2 linked regions of the Xenopus tropicalis genome follow. The protein of the gene in region 1 interacts with the protein of each later gene in a pairwise test. Links are inferred from orthologs where the notes say so. Each region holds a gene or a part of one and is shown on either strand. Other genes may lie near its edges.

What was found.
Region 2: the proteins of mapk7 (region 1) and ube2c interact in binary tests that used the Homo sapiens proteins (3 or more experiments, as listed by UniProt). The two-hybrid records come from large-scale screens. The link is inferred for Xenopus tropicalis from reciprocal best matches to the Homo sapiens genes MAPK7 and UBE2C.

What each region holds. Positions count from the first base shown.
Region 1 is NC_030685.2:7,117,845-7,124,723, reverse strand, and holds part of mapk7 (mitogen-activated protein kinase 7), read left to right. Parts: coding exon 1-191; intron 192-519; coding exon 520-685; intron 686-1,632; coding exon 1,633-2,819; intron 2,820-3,349; coding exon 3,350-4,275; intron 4,276-4,969; coding exon 4,970-5,097; intron 5,098-6,099; coding exon 6,100-6,253; 3' UTR 6,254-6,879. UniProt on the Homo sapiens protein: Plays a role in various cellular processes such as proliferation, differentiation and cell survival. The upstream activator of MAPK7 is the MAPK kinase MAP2K5.
Region 2 is NC_030686.2:19,656,510-19,664,156, reverse strand, and holds the end of ube2c (ubiquitin-conjugating enzyme E2 C), read right to left. Parts: intron 5,109-7,647; coding exon 5,081-5,108; intron 4,434-5,080; coding exon 4,347-4,433; intron 4,024-4,346; coding exon 3,819-4,023; intron 3,167-3,818; coding exon 3,107-3,166; intron 2,543-3,106; coding exon 2,484-2,542; 3' UTR 2,367-2,483; downstream 1-2,366. UniProt on the Homo sapiens protein: Accepts ubiquitin from the E1 complex and catalyzes its covalent attachment to other proteins. In vitro catalyzes 'Lys-11'- and 'Lys-48'-linked polyubiquitination.

The sequences.
Region 1 (6,879 bases):
GGAGGTACCAGATGGATCGGGCACCAAACTGGACCCAGGTGGCAGCACCTCCATGCCAGCCAAGGGCTTCTCCATACTCAAAGAGCGCTCCTTCGACGTCAACTTCGAAGTTGGGGACGAGTACGAGATCATCGAAACCATCGGCGTCGGCGCTTACGGGGTGGTGTCCTCGGCCAGGCGGAAAGGCTGTGGTGAGAACCTTGTGGCCTAATGAAATACACTGCCGTCTCTTCAGCCCAGCAAGGGGGGCTTTTGTTGCAATCGCCCCTTGTATAAAGAAACATACATAGTGCTGGGAATCCGCATTCTCATTGGTCAATTCTCTTGCATCTATAATTAAGTTTTCGGTCTTATTGGTGAATTGGTTTCCATGTGTAATTACGTTCTTCATCAACTTCTGTAGGGAACTAGGGGGCGCAGTGGGACAGCTTTACGGTTGGGTTTAGTTTCCCTTTAATGTTTATTATATGACACTGTATTCAGCACTTGTATAATGACCCCTGTTTGTTACCCCCCCAGGGCAAAGGGTCGCCATTAAGAAAATCCCCAACGCCTTCGACGTGGTTACGAACGCCAAGCGCACCCTGCGGGAACTTAAGATCCTGAAGCATTTCAAGCACGACAACATCATTGCCATAAAGGACATCTTAAAGCCGTCTGTGCCTTACAACGACTTCAGATCTGTGTAGGGGCCTTTTTATTATGTGCTGCTTGGGGGCAGTGACGTAGTGGGAGGGCCTTATGACCTGTACATCACATGACCAGCAAACTACTTGGTAGGAGGAGACAGAGTTTTTTCTTTTATAGCCTGCCGTAGGGGAGGTTGAACAGGGCCGCCATCAGAAATCACAGGGCCCCTCACAACAAAATTTTCTGGGCCCTCCTCCTCCCACACCCCGACCCTCAATGGCCCCTCTCATCTGTACAAAGGACACAGACATTGGTAGCCAGGGACCCCCTAATACATTGATAGCCAACCCAGGGCCCCCTAAAACATTGCTGGTCCTCCCCCAGTGTCCTCATACTATGGCCCTCCCCCCATTGCATCCTGTTCCCCCTACATCCTCCAGCTTTTCCCCCAGCATCCTCCAGCTTCTCCCCCAGCATCCTCCAGCTTCTCCCCCAGCATCCTCCAGCTTCTCCCCCAGCATCCTCCAGCTTCCCCCCAGCATCCTCCAGCTCCTCCCCAGCATCCTCCAGCTTTCCCCCCCAGCATCCTCCAGCTTTCCCCCCCAGCATCCTCCAGCTTTCCCCCTCAGCATCCTCCAGCTCCCCCCTAGCCACCAATGACAGGGCCCGTAATTCTTTAAATGGGGCCCGAGCTTAAAAACTGTATCACAGCTGGGCCCCCTTTAAAGCGAAAGATCGCCCGGGACACCAGTCCCCCCTGTGCCCCCCTGATGGCGGCCCTGAGGCTGAATGTAGGGAGTAATAAACTGACAACTTAGTTCCCATAGAAATATCTCCTCCATAATAATAGTCAAGCAATTTGGTAAGTCACACATATTTTAATGCCGGTGCTACCAGTAATATAAAATGCACCAATCATGTTCAGTATTCTCCATACCATATAGTTAGGGGGGTTTGTTATGTATATGAGGATCAAGATTCTATAACCTGTTTCCATTTCAGATATGTGGTGTTGGACCTTATGGAGAGCGATTTGCACCAAATCATCCACTCGTCGCAGCCACTTACCCTCGAACACGCCCGCTACTTCCTGTACCAGCTTCTGCGCGGCCTGAAATACATCCACTCGGCCAATGTTTTGCACCGGGACCTGAAGCCCAGCAACCTTCTGATTAACGAGAACTGTGAGCTGAAGATCGGGGATTTCGGAATGGCCCGGGGGCTCTGCACCAAGCCGGACGAGTACAAGTATTTCATGACCGAGTATGTGGCCACTCGGTGGTATCGGCCCCCTGAACTGATGTTGTCTCTCCACGAGTACACGCAGGCCATTGATATGTGGTCTGTGGGGTGCATATTTGCTGAAATGTTGGGACGTAAGCCTCTCTTTCCAGGCAAAAACTACCTCCACCAGCTACATCTCATCATGACTGTGCTGGGCACACCCTCCAGTCAGGTGATCCGAGCCATTGGGGCGGAGAGAGTGAGGGCTTATATCCAAAGTCTTCCCTCGCGCCAACCAGTGCCTTGGGCAACCCTCTACCCCCAAGCTGGCAAGAAGGCTCTGGATCTGCTGTCAAAAATGCTACGTTTTGACCCACGTGACCGCATTTCCGTAGCAGAGGCACTTCGGCACCCTTTCCTGTCCAAATATCACGACCCCGACGACGAACCAGAATGCGTCCCGGCCTTTGATTTTGGATTCGATAAAAAGATTCTCACAAAGGACCAAATAAAAGAGGCTATAACGGCGGAGATAGACGGCTTTCACCGTAGAAGGGAGGGCATACGACGGCAGATCAGCTTTAAACCAGCACTCAGACCAGCCGTGGAAGGGCCCATCGGGGACGGACCTATTCAAGAAGATGCCTTCCAATCGCCACCACTACCCCCACCCACCGAGGGATTGGATATAGAGATGCCCAGTGCCAATTCGGCTCGGGACAAGGCAGATTTCCCAATGGAGTCTCCCCGGGTTGCAGAGAACACAGAGACCATCGATCTCACCTCTCCTGTGGAGAAGGAAGAGACAGAGGTGCTGGGGGACGATCATGAAGGCAAAGAAGAAACCCTAGTGGTTAAAGCTGAACCGGAGCCCTTGCCAAAGCGAGAAGGGGCAATATCGGAGGATACTAAAGCAGCGCTTAAGGCCGCTCTCTTGAAGTCAGCTTTACGGAACAAGAGTAAAGGTAATAAGTGGGACGGGTCTTATGTTTAAGTCATTTGGAAAACAGACAAAGTTTGACTTGGCCATACACGATACAAGTATGATCTTCACTAACATTCAGGGCTCAATCGTCCGATATGGAGGTAGAAACAATAGGAATTTGACCCCCTATCTGATGGTTCAACCCTAAACACTTGCCTTTGTTTGGGCGCCTTCAATCGACGACCTATATCCCAAGGATTTTGCGATATTGGTTGCCTCGTCAATCCACCATACGAAACCTCATTCCATATAATAATATTGGTGTGACCCCCGACCCTAACCCATCCGTTCCTAACCCTACCCTACCCTAATTCACAAACCGGAAGAGGACACCGGCAGTATTAGGTCATGGGGCGGGGAGGACGAGTGGAAGAGCTCACCCCAAACCCACCCACGACCTGCAAGTGATGTTCCGAGGTCGGCCTGAACCCGCACATCACTAGCGTGTATGGCCAGCTTTACTCTTCCTAAATTAGCCCCAAACGCTAACGTGCTTTTTTTTCCCCCCAGATGCACCCACTTCCGTCCCTGAGGTTCCCGAAACCCGGAAACCAGTCACGGCTCAGGAGCGACAGCGGGAGCGGGAGGAGAAGCGAAGGCGGCGCCACGAACGCGCCAGGGAGCGGGAGAAAAAGCAGAAAGAGAAGGAGCGTCGGGAAGTGAAGAAGATAGAAGGCTTCGGAGGCCTGGTGCTGAGCGAGAACGATAAGAATTTGTTGGAACGCTGGAGTCGAATGGTCGACCAGACCCAGCTGCAGCCGGCCGTTCCTCCTGCTCAGATAACCGGGCCCGGTCATTCCAATTCAGCCGTTAACATTTGCACCGTGGCTCAGCCGCTGCAGCAGTCTGTGTTTGGTGTGGCCAACTTAGCTCCTCTTATAGAGGTTGGGAGGCAACAGAACGGTACTATTGCTGCCCCAGCGGTACCGCCTACCATCCAGTTCATTCCGAGGTGTCTGAACCCTTGCGCCGTGACCAACCTGCTCCATTATGTCCCGCCCTCCTCTGCGGGCTTTCAGATTAGTTCCGTTATGCTGACCGCCCAAGCGAAGCAAGACTCCAATCCCATAGCTGCCCAGCTGCCGGCCGATGTCTCATTCGTTAGCAGAGGACAAGTCCTGACCAATAACTTTCCCACGCCCCCACGAATGAATCCCCCTTGGCCCCGGTGTGTAGCTCAGGAGGGCTGGTCTGGGGCAAACAGAGTGGATTGCAAGAGCGTGGACACTTCCCTCTTCCTCCATAAGCCCCCCGACCTCCAACAGCCACAGGGAGGAGTCCCAGGACTTGCATATTCTAATGGATCCGTCTTCCAGAACCCGGAACAGCACAAAAGTTTCCCACCTCTTCCGCCCACGTCGTACAGCAGCGCCAACGCCCCCCAGGCAACATCTCCAGACATCAACTTGGTGACTCAGCAACTTTCCAAATCCCAGGTCAGATCATCGCAACTTTATTCTTACTAAACCCAACCGTAAAGCTGCCCCACTGCGCCCCCTAGCTCTCTGAAAAACGTAATTACACATGGAAACCAATTCACCAATGAGAATTCTACTGACCCAAAACTTAATTATAGATGCAAGAGAAGTGACCAATGAGAATGCTGATTCCCAGCACTGTGTCAGGCCCCTTGCTGGTACCTTACATATAGAGATAATGATGTCATTTTCCCGTCATTATATGGCACAGGAATCAGACATGGGGATAAAGGGACAGACTTGTTCAGTGCTGGGAAACTGTGCTTAATGCTCCCAACTCCAATTGCAGGAACAGAGAACAGGGAGCCGGATTTATACAGATCAGCTGGGATTCTCATTGGAGGATTCTTTTGCATTTCAATGCTGCCAATGCGGGCCCTAGAGAGCTGGGAAAGTTTTATTGTGCAATATTGCTTTAAGAATACAACCCTGATGTTGCTGGACTACAGCTCCCAGAATGCCTCACCCTTCATTATATGTTACATTATTCTGGGATTTGTAGTCCGTTTAGTAACGTTTGCATCTCTGCCATATTCCTCATAATCCCAACCCAAAGCCCCTCCTATCAGGGTGCTCTATACTATGATTGGACCCCATTTCGGGTAGTAGCTGCCATACCTGTAACGTATTCTTCACACTCTGACCCTTTTAGGTTGAAGATATCCTTCCTCCAGTTTTCTCGGTCACTCCGAAAGGAAGCGGAGCCGGGTACGGAGTGGGGTTCGATCTGGAAGAATTTCTCAATCAGTCCTTTGATATGGCAGCAGAGAACCGGGAAAGGTACCGAGACCTGATTTGTTTGGATCCCGTCCCCCCCCCCCCATCTTTGTCTGTATGATTTACTTTGCCTACTTCCAAGCCTCTTTAAATATTTGCCACTCTGGTTGTTTAAAGGTTAATACTTAGGCTGCAGCACCCCTTATTCCCTCCTCTGCCCCCTCCATTAGGAACTGACTTTGGCTCTTGGCTACTGAGCATGCTCAGTTCTTTCAACTCAGGTTACTAAACACACCCTCCAGCCTAGCAGCCAATGAAAAGCTGGCACGGCTGGTTTCCATTGAATCTGCTCTAGCTGTCCTAATCTCCTCTCCAGAGCTCAGCTTAACCATTACAGTGCTGAGACAAAGCAGATATTTTTATCAGAGCAAGTTCTGCCTGTGTAAGCCTGCATTCTTAACTGATAATGTGTCAGAGGGAAAATGGTCGCCGGGTGAAAGCTGCTATATGTTATAGGAAAATGTGATGGTACTGGTGAACGGAGGGGATATATACAGTATAACTGGTGTAGTTTGGGTGGGGGTGGGGTTGCCTGTAGTTGCCATCCTATTAAAGGGCTTGTTCACCTTTGAGTTCGTTTTTACTATGATGTAGAGTAAAATTCTGAGACAGTTTTCAGTTGGTCTTCATTATTTATTGTTTGTAGTTTAGCAAATATTTCAGTTTTTGTTCAGCAGTTTTCCCGTTTTGGCATTTTTAGCAGCAATCTGGTTGCTTGGATCCAAATGACCTTAGCAACCAGGGTGTGGTTTGAATACAATACTGATATATGAATAAGGAGAGGGCCCGAATAGAAAAATAAGTACTGAAAAGTAGCAATAAACAATTTAGTGTAGTTCCAAAGGAATAGTTGAACCACCCCATAAACACTAAAGCCCCAGGTGGCAGTTCTATGTGGCACTTAGATCTATAGATGCTTTATACTGCAGACTGACATTGAGCCGACGCACAGCAGTAGTGCCTTCTCTGTCTTCTCTAATAAACTCCCGCTTTATCCCTTTTCAGCCACGTGGACTCCGCCCCCCTTTCTGCGTCGCTACTGGCCGACTGGCTGGACATTCACAGCATGAACCCGGCGGACATGGCTTCCCTACAGGAGGATCTGCAGCTGGGCTCCCCCATGAGTCTCTCCGACATCCCCGACCTACAGGACACCTAACACGGGGGGAATACAAGGAACCCCTGCACTCTCAGTCACTTGGTTGGACCCGGAGAGCGTGTGGATGTTTGGGCCAATCATACAGCGTCTTCCAGAACTTGCCAATAAACAGTCGGAAAAGACTTGCCAGTGTTTTGTAACCCTGTAAGTGCCAAAATCCAACTTGTCCGTTAGTCCGTGTCGGCGCTGGATGTGAGTGAAACAGAACCAGCCTGGGATTGGCTCCCAGTTCTGTAATAAAAGGATCATGTGACCTCTGCGCTTCATCGTCATTGGTTAGATCGATATTGGAGAAAACACGATGCTCTTGTCCTTTTCTTACTTGGTACCGATACCGACCCGACAGCCCATAATCCCACCCACCCAATGGGCTTCATGTACTGACCTTGCAGTGCATCTTATTCATGGATGGGGCAGAACCCTATTAACCCTTTGAATGAACGTTTAGTATGATGTAGAGAGTGCCTCTGCCGAGACAACTTGCAATTGGTCGTCATTTTTTATTTTGAAATATTACAGCAGCTCTCCAGTTTGGAATCGCAGCAGCCTCGTGGTTGCTAGGGCTCTGTTTAACCTAGTAACCAGGCAGCGGCTTGTAAAGGGAACAGGGATAGGAATAGAGAAGG
Region 2 (7,647 bases), on another chromosome or scaffold:
ACCCTTCCTGTGTGTGCCATACTCTGCCTGCCCTACCCTTCCTGTGTGTGCCATACTCTGCCTGCCCTACCCTTCCTGTGTGTGCCATACTCTGCCTGCCCTACCCTTCCTGTGTGTGCCATACTCTGCCTGCCCTACCCTTACTGTGTGTGCCATACTCTGCCTGCCCTACCCTTACTGTGTGTGCCATACTCTGCCTGCCCTACCCTTCCTGCGTGCGCCATACTCTGCCTGCCCTATGCTGCCTGTGTGTGCCATACTCTGCCTGCCCTACCCTTCCTGTGTGCCATACCCACCCTGACCTATGCTGCCTGTGTGTGCCATACTCTACCTGCCCTATGCTGGCTGTATGTGCCATACTCTGCCTACAGTACCTATGTCTGAGGTGTGAAGAAGTGAACAATGGGAGTGACTACAGTCTGAGCCTGAGGTGTAAACACTGCAGGGGTTGAACAATGCAGAAACTAAAAGGTGTGAAAAACATAGGGGATTACATTTTTAAACAATACAGATGGATTACAGCCTGAATCTGAGGTGAGAACCATGCAGGGGGCCAGTTAATCTCAGTACTGATACCATTTAATGCTTACTCAAAGGTAAGCCATCAAAGCAGCCAGACAGGTGGGGGGCCACACAGAGGGGGGTCGCAGGCCGCCAGTTGGACAGCACTGTTATAGAGCATCCAGTTCAAAGCAACTTTTCAATTGGTCTTCATTATTTATGTTATACTTTTTGATTTGCTGCCTTCTTCCAAACTCAGTTTTTAAATGGGGGTTACTGACCGCAGCAGTCAAAAAGCTGTTGCTCTGTAAGGCTACAGTTTTGTTACTTTATAACACATTTATATTCAGGTCCTCTCCTGTTCATATACCAGTCTCTCATCCATACCACTCCATGGTTGCTAAGGTAACTTGGACCCTAGCAAACAAATAGCCCCTGAATTAAAATGAACTAAAAAACTACAAATACAAAATGAAGACCAATTACAAAGTGTCTCAGAATATCACTCTCTAACATCACACTAAAATTTAACTCAAAGGTGATCAACCCCTTTAGGGCCACAACAAATCTCCATTGCCACGGGCAACTAATCTCCCCGCTATGCCATCCCACCGGCTAGAATTTAAATCACCGCTGGGATTGCATACGCGGCGCTGAAGTTTCCTCTCAAGGCAACTTCAGCAAATTGCGGTGCCGCTTATTCCATCCCACTGGCGATTTAGAAATTTGTTGTGGCGCGACTAATCTCCCCTACACACAGTAACACACAAGAGCACTTTATGAGGTAAGCCACATGGTCTGAGACAAAGATGAAAGATGTAATAACCATTAATCTCATATATTCTTCCCAAGTAAGGGGGTGTAAAACACAAGGTTTTAATGACATAGGAACATTGTTTACACTGCAAACATTCCCTTCCATATTGGTGCCAGGGTCTGTTGTTGTGGGAACCAAACTGGATCCTAGATCTGCTTTCACTAATCAATCTGTTAAAGAGGATTTTTAAGTTCCTCCAGCTCTGGCTCCCCCATGTTTATTTATAATATAGTGAATTCTTATCACAGGAAGCACATTCCATTTATATGTACATATCCCACCAGGATCTTTTCTTTAGGCGCATGTCAATTAGAGGAGGAGGAAAGGTAAAAATTAAGTAAGCTTTATCAGAAAGGTCTAAGTAAATACAGCCATAAGAACTCACAGAAATGCTGTCCTCAATCAAAGGAAACACAGGATTTCTGGTGTCTTATTTTATACACATGTTGTTCTGGTGTCTGACTCCATCTCAGAAAAATCCCCTGGGCCAGAATCTGCAGCTAGAAAGCTACTGAAAATGGCAGTTGCTATCTTCAACTTTAGAAGCTTTCTCTGTTTGCTTTTTACTCCGGTATGGTCACACACGAAAAAAAAAAAACATAGCATTGTCAGGACTTAAGATTCTAGAAAAGCTTTAGTCAACATTTCAGCTCAAACATGAGCCTTAATGAAGTCTCATGTTTGAAATTAAACATTGAATAAAGCTTTTCTAGAAATTTTCCAGAAGTCCTGAGAATGCTGTTATATTATATGTTTGAGTTACATGAAACAAGGATTAGTATTCTATAAGACTGTACAGCGCTTGTGGTGCTTTATAAATAAAATTATACATACATTAGCAGCACAAAAAATAAAATACCACCCCAGTTGCCACTCCTAACACTTATGAACATAACTGGTATCTGCCCAGAAAGCAGCCCAGTTTGGCACGGTACAAGGGTAGCCAATTGGGCAGAGAAAAGTGTGTGGCTATCTTAAGGACTATCCCAAAATTTAAGATTACTTGTATTCCTAGTATGCACCACGCACGATTTTAACCACACAGCAAAACGATAAAACAGCTTTATTTGTACAAACTTCTGTTAAGTTAAGCATATATTACAGCATACATGTACAGCACACAACATGCAAATGGAATAGGAAAGGGTGTGGGGGGAGGGGGTGGTCAGATGTCTTTTTCTCGGACTTGCTTCTGGTACTGCTCGTGGAGATGCTTCTTGTAAGCTGGAAAAAATAAAGTACAGCGTCAAAGCCATGTACACCATCCCAATACATCTACTGCAGCAACTGTTCCAAAATACTGAACTGAATACTTAAGCTGGCCATACACGCACAGATATTGTACAAAACCGTGTTTGTCGTGTGTATGGTTGATTGACGAGACTACCAATATCACAAAAGCTTTGGATGTTGGTCATCTCTCCAATCAGCAGGACAAAAGATTGATTGGGCACCCGAGCAAAATATGCATTTAGGGCTGAATTGTTTCTGCCTCCATATCTTACAATTCAGCCCTGATCATCAACGGAGGGTAATTTTAAGGTGTAAAGGCCACCATTAGTATGGGAAGTGCCTCCCTTCCAGTGCTAATCACACCACTCTATCCATAAAGCATATTGCAAATAGGTTGTAGAGTACATGCAGTCACACAACTTAAAGATCTGCTCATTTGGCAAAGTCACCAAAAGGCAGATATTTGCCACCTTGTGCAGGCCAATATGGGGCTCATTATATTTCACGAATGTCGCAGGATAGATGGGGGTGGTTATGACTAATGGCAGCACTTACCTGTCTGATTCTGCCACAGTTCTGCTGCATATGGGTTCAAGGGACTCTCATTATTGGGCTCTGGTGAGAGAAGAAAAAAAAAAAAAAAAAATATGTTAGGCACAACCAGTGAATCCACGTACCAGAGACCCCAGGCTAATAGCACTATTTACTAAATACTGAACTCTCATGTTGTGATCTTTTGGGTCCTATCTACAGCCTGGCCTGGGTGTGCAACAGTGTGAAAAGCAGCAGCCAAGAACATTGTGTCATGTGGTCCTACAGTATTACCCTGATGCAGTTCTCAGAACCAATACAGGTAGAATTTGTTGTGGTGGAAAATGCAAATGACTGGTACCATCATTCCCAATGGATGTTTAAAGGGGACCTGTCACCCACACAAAAAGCTCTATAAAAAAGCCCATTGCAAATTAAACATGAAAACTCACATCCTGTTATAAAATGTATTTAAATATCTAAGCTGTCAATCATTGCTTGCCCCCCTCTATGCCTCAGGTGTATTCATTTGTGATATTTAACATGCATGCATTTCTCCAGTTATTTCATTATATCCAAAGGTTTGCTAAAGCATGATCTTTCCAGAAGACCAATGCCGTAATAAAGCCTGAAAACAACAGTTTCAAGTAAGCAATGTTTTTGATTTGTCCAGGTGTTGAATAAGTGATATTCTACAATGTTCTATATATTATAGGCTAAAGGGTGTTTCACTCACCTCCCAGCAAGCTCTGTAATGAGAGAAGAATTGTTCGGACATCATAAAGTGCAGACCATTTGTCTTTCAGGATGTCCAGACAGATGTTTCCATGACTATCTACATTTGGATGGAAGCATGGTGTAACAAATTTCACAGTGGGAGCATTGTAAGGGTAGCCACTAGGGAATTCCAGGGACAGCTTATAGCGCAGGCTCTCATATACCTACAAAAATTGAGAAATTTTATTAGCGCAGAATATCCAACATAAGACTCCTTAATATACCTCAACAAGATAATTCAGTCATTGCTTTTAACTTTTAAATTAATGGAAAGCAGCTGATGAGAGGCAAGAACTGTGGATTGCGTGCAAAGTCTACAGCACACTACCTCTGCCTGGTAGGTATTAGTTGTTTCTACATTCCTTGGCAATCACCATTTGGCAGGGCTTCATCTGCGAATGCATGGAAAGCAACTAAGGAAGGCAAGGGTTTTGATCAGGTGTCCCTGAAAGGGCAGCAGCTTTCAAAATGTGTCATGAAGCCTTACCGTGCCGACTGCGCCATCAATGGTTCCAATCCACTTAAATAGGTTATCAGACTCCGGGAATGCAGAAATTCCCTTATCCCCAGACATCTAGGGGAGAAAAAACATACAAGATCAAGTTTCCTAAAACCCTCAACAGCTTATTAAAAGGGGAATTCCACCCATACAAAACAAGCTTTTTAAAAAGTAAACAATTTCAAGCAACTTTGCAATATAGATCAACTTAAAACACAGCAGTTTCATGAATTTTAATGTAACATGGTTTGGAATGGCTCCATAAGCCTTGCCCCCTGTTCTCCTAATGATCTGGCAGACAAATGTGAGATTTAAATAAAACAGTAGTTGACTCTCCACCGCCTGCATCCTCTAAATCCCACAATTCCCTGCAAACATGTCATTAAGGAAAGGAACGCCACGGTGCAATGCATTGTGGATTATGTAGTTTCCACATGCTGTCTGTAAAATTTGGAAAGTTGTTACAATTTGTAACATCAATGTTTTAGTCCCTTCTCCCCTGCCAGGATTTCAAATGATGCAAGGAACTGTTTTGCAGATGGCTTTCAGCATATAAAAGTTATATTCATTTTTTGAAGGAACATATTACAGTGATATATATTAAGAGTTTTGGTGTTGTGTGTGGCTCTTACAAAACTTTGGTTGGTAAGTCAGAATTTCCCTTTAAAAAGTATAAAGCACAAGTACTATCCTCATTGTATGCACATAAAGTTTACACTCACCATTAAGGTCATCAGCTCCTGCTGTAACCTACGAGAGAAGAAAGAAAATAGGTGGGCACTTAAGCTTTGCTACAAATCACACTCACAATAAGAATTTGCTATGGGTGTGGCAGTCTTTGGCAGGCAATCTTTTCATGCATGGCCCTCTAAGAACAGCAGATCCCGGCAGAAGGGAAGAAGAGTCACTAGACATTAGGCTTTTTGAATGTTAATAACTTACTTGTTAAGCCCAAAATAATGGAGACAGATGCTAGCATTCGCCATGGAGGGATAAAGGCAGCATTATGGACAGCAGCAATAAATAATGGATGCCTCACGGTACAATATTTATGGCTATTGACAATAAGTATACATAATTGATAGGCTTCCTTAAGTAACTGGTAGTAAAAATAAGGGGCAAAGAGTAATTTTGCTAATAAAATTATAGCAATGGCAAAAGGACTAAGTGATTTAGAATTGGAATATTATGGTCATAGACAATATGGGTAAATAATGGATATCTACCAGCTGAGATGTTATGCTTCACTTGGTATTAATGTGCTTTATATGAATATAGGGGAGATTTATCAATTGGTTCTGTTGCACATAGAGGGACAAGTTAACCCTCTAACTAGTCACCATTGGTTTGATCTACATTTTCTCAACCTAATAGCCAAGTTTTTTTTTTTTTTTTTTAAACACAATACATACCTTATCCCTGTTTGGGCTTTAAACTATTCTGGCCAGCTGAACTTGCGGCCACCATATTGCCTTCCATTACATCTTAAAGAAGCTGTCCATCTTTGAGTTAACTTTAAGTATAATGTAGATAGTAATATTCTGAGAATTAAAAATGAAGACCAATTGCAAATTTGTAGATTATTTCAGCTTTTGCTTTTCAGCTTGGAGTTTCAGCAGCTATTTGGTTGCTAGGATACAAATTACCTTAGCAGCCAGGGTGTGATTTGAATGAAAGACTGATTTGAAAAGGAGAACACCTGAATAGAGAAATATAATCTGACAACAACAATTAAACTGTAGCTTCACAGAGCAATAGTTTTTTGGTTGCTGGGGTCAGTGACCCCTATTTGAAAGCTGCAAAGAGTTGGAAGGCAAAAGCTATAAAAAAAAATAAATGAAGACCACTTGAAAAGCTGCTTATAATTTGCCTTTCTATAACATACTAGAAATGAACTTAAATATTTAGCCAATTTAGCCATTTCTGCGCAGTAGCAGGCAGCTGGGGAAGTGGGAGAAGACAGAACCATCACTGGAGAAAACAAAGATTGCAGATCGGTGCAATCACAATCAGCAGGCAGCTATAGCAACCATAAACTAAGGTTGCCATTTGCTGATGGTTTTATACAGGGAAGGGAATCTGGAGGTCAACAGTGACACGCACTCTAATGAACAAAATCTCCAGTTCCTCTTCTGTGCATGCTCCACCAGGCTGATGATAATATTGACTCATTGCGTGAGTCCTATGTGAAGGCTTGGGCTCCAATGCTCATGTGTCCAAGGCTTTCACCAATGAACAGCATGGGCGGGTACGTCCACCTTTGCCGAAGCTAGTGTGAGACCCATCAGGTCTTGGCCTGGGGTCAAACCCAGAGGACTATGACACCAATCCATGGTGCACAAATCAAACAAGACAGGTGCTGAAGTGTGCGAGTGCAATGCCATGGATTGCCTTGGTAAGGCTCCAGCTGGCGGCCAAAAAGAAAAATGCCTCCCGCCGTCCTAATTGCCAGGGCAAATTAAGTTAAGCATAATTAAGCAGAAGGTGCATGTGCAAAGTCCCCAACTAAAATATGTCAGGCATTCCCTTATGGGAACACAGCTCCTCTGCTTTCATCAAGCTTCCGCCTGACAACCTAAAGGCCAGAGGACCAAGTGTTTCTCATTTCGATACTACACTTTGTTAGCCAAAAGGTCGTCCAGTCCGATAGACTGACCCATCTCAAAAAGGTGTGTGGCCACCTTTAGACATATGATTTTATTATTCTAGATTTAGACCAGAATCCTTTACCCCAAACACCCTCTGGCTACAGGACCATGACTGCAACCCCCCCCCCCCACCCCAGTGAATGGCACACCAAGTCAGTGCATTATCAATGTCTGATCCAGTTTCAGACAGTCTGAAGGCCCCATACATAGGCAGATAAGCTACAGACTAGGTCTGAAGTGGCCAAATTAGCAGCTGAAGTCTGCCTGGGATGGCATGTAAAATAACACTACCTTTGTTTAAGGCTTTAAGCAATTACAGCCATTGGGTGGGGGTGTCTTACATATTGCCTACCCCCCTCCCCAAGTCAATGGTGCTTTCCTTAATGGCCACACTTGCAGCAGAGTTGCCAGGTTGGTGTTTCTGCAAAATTGGGCTACCAATTTAAAGCCCTGGCAGGTTTCCAAGGTACAAACCCACCAAGGAACAGTTTGGGGCTATTTTTTGGAGCCTTAATCTACAGTTAGGATTAATATAAAACTACAATACCCAGCATGCAATTGGACAGTATAGATAGAGGCTCTGTTTTGTATTCCTTTTTGCTCTTTCAGGGTCAACCTGTATATTCTGCAACCTGCTCTAT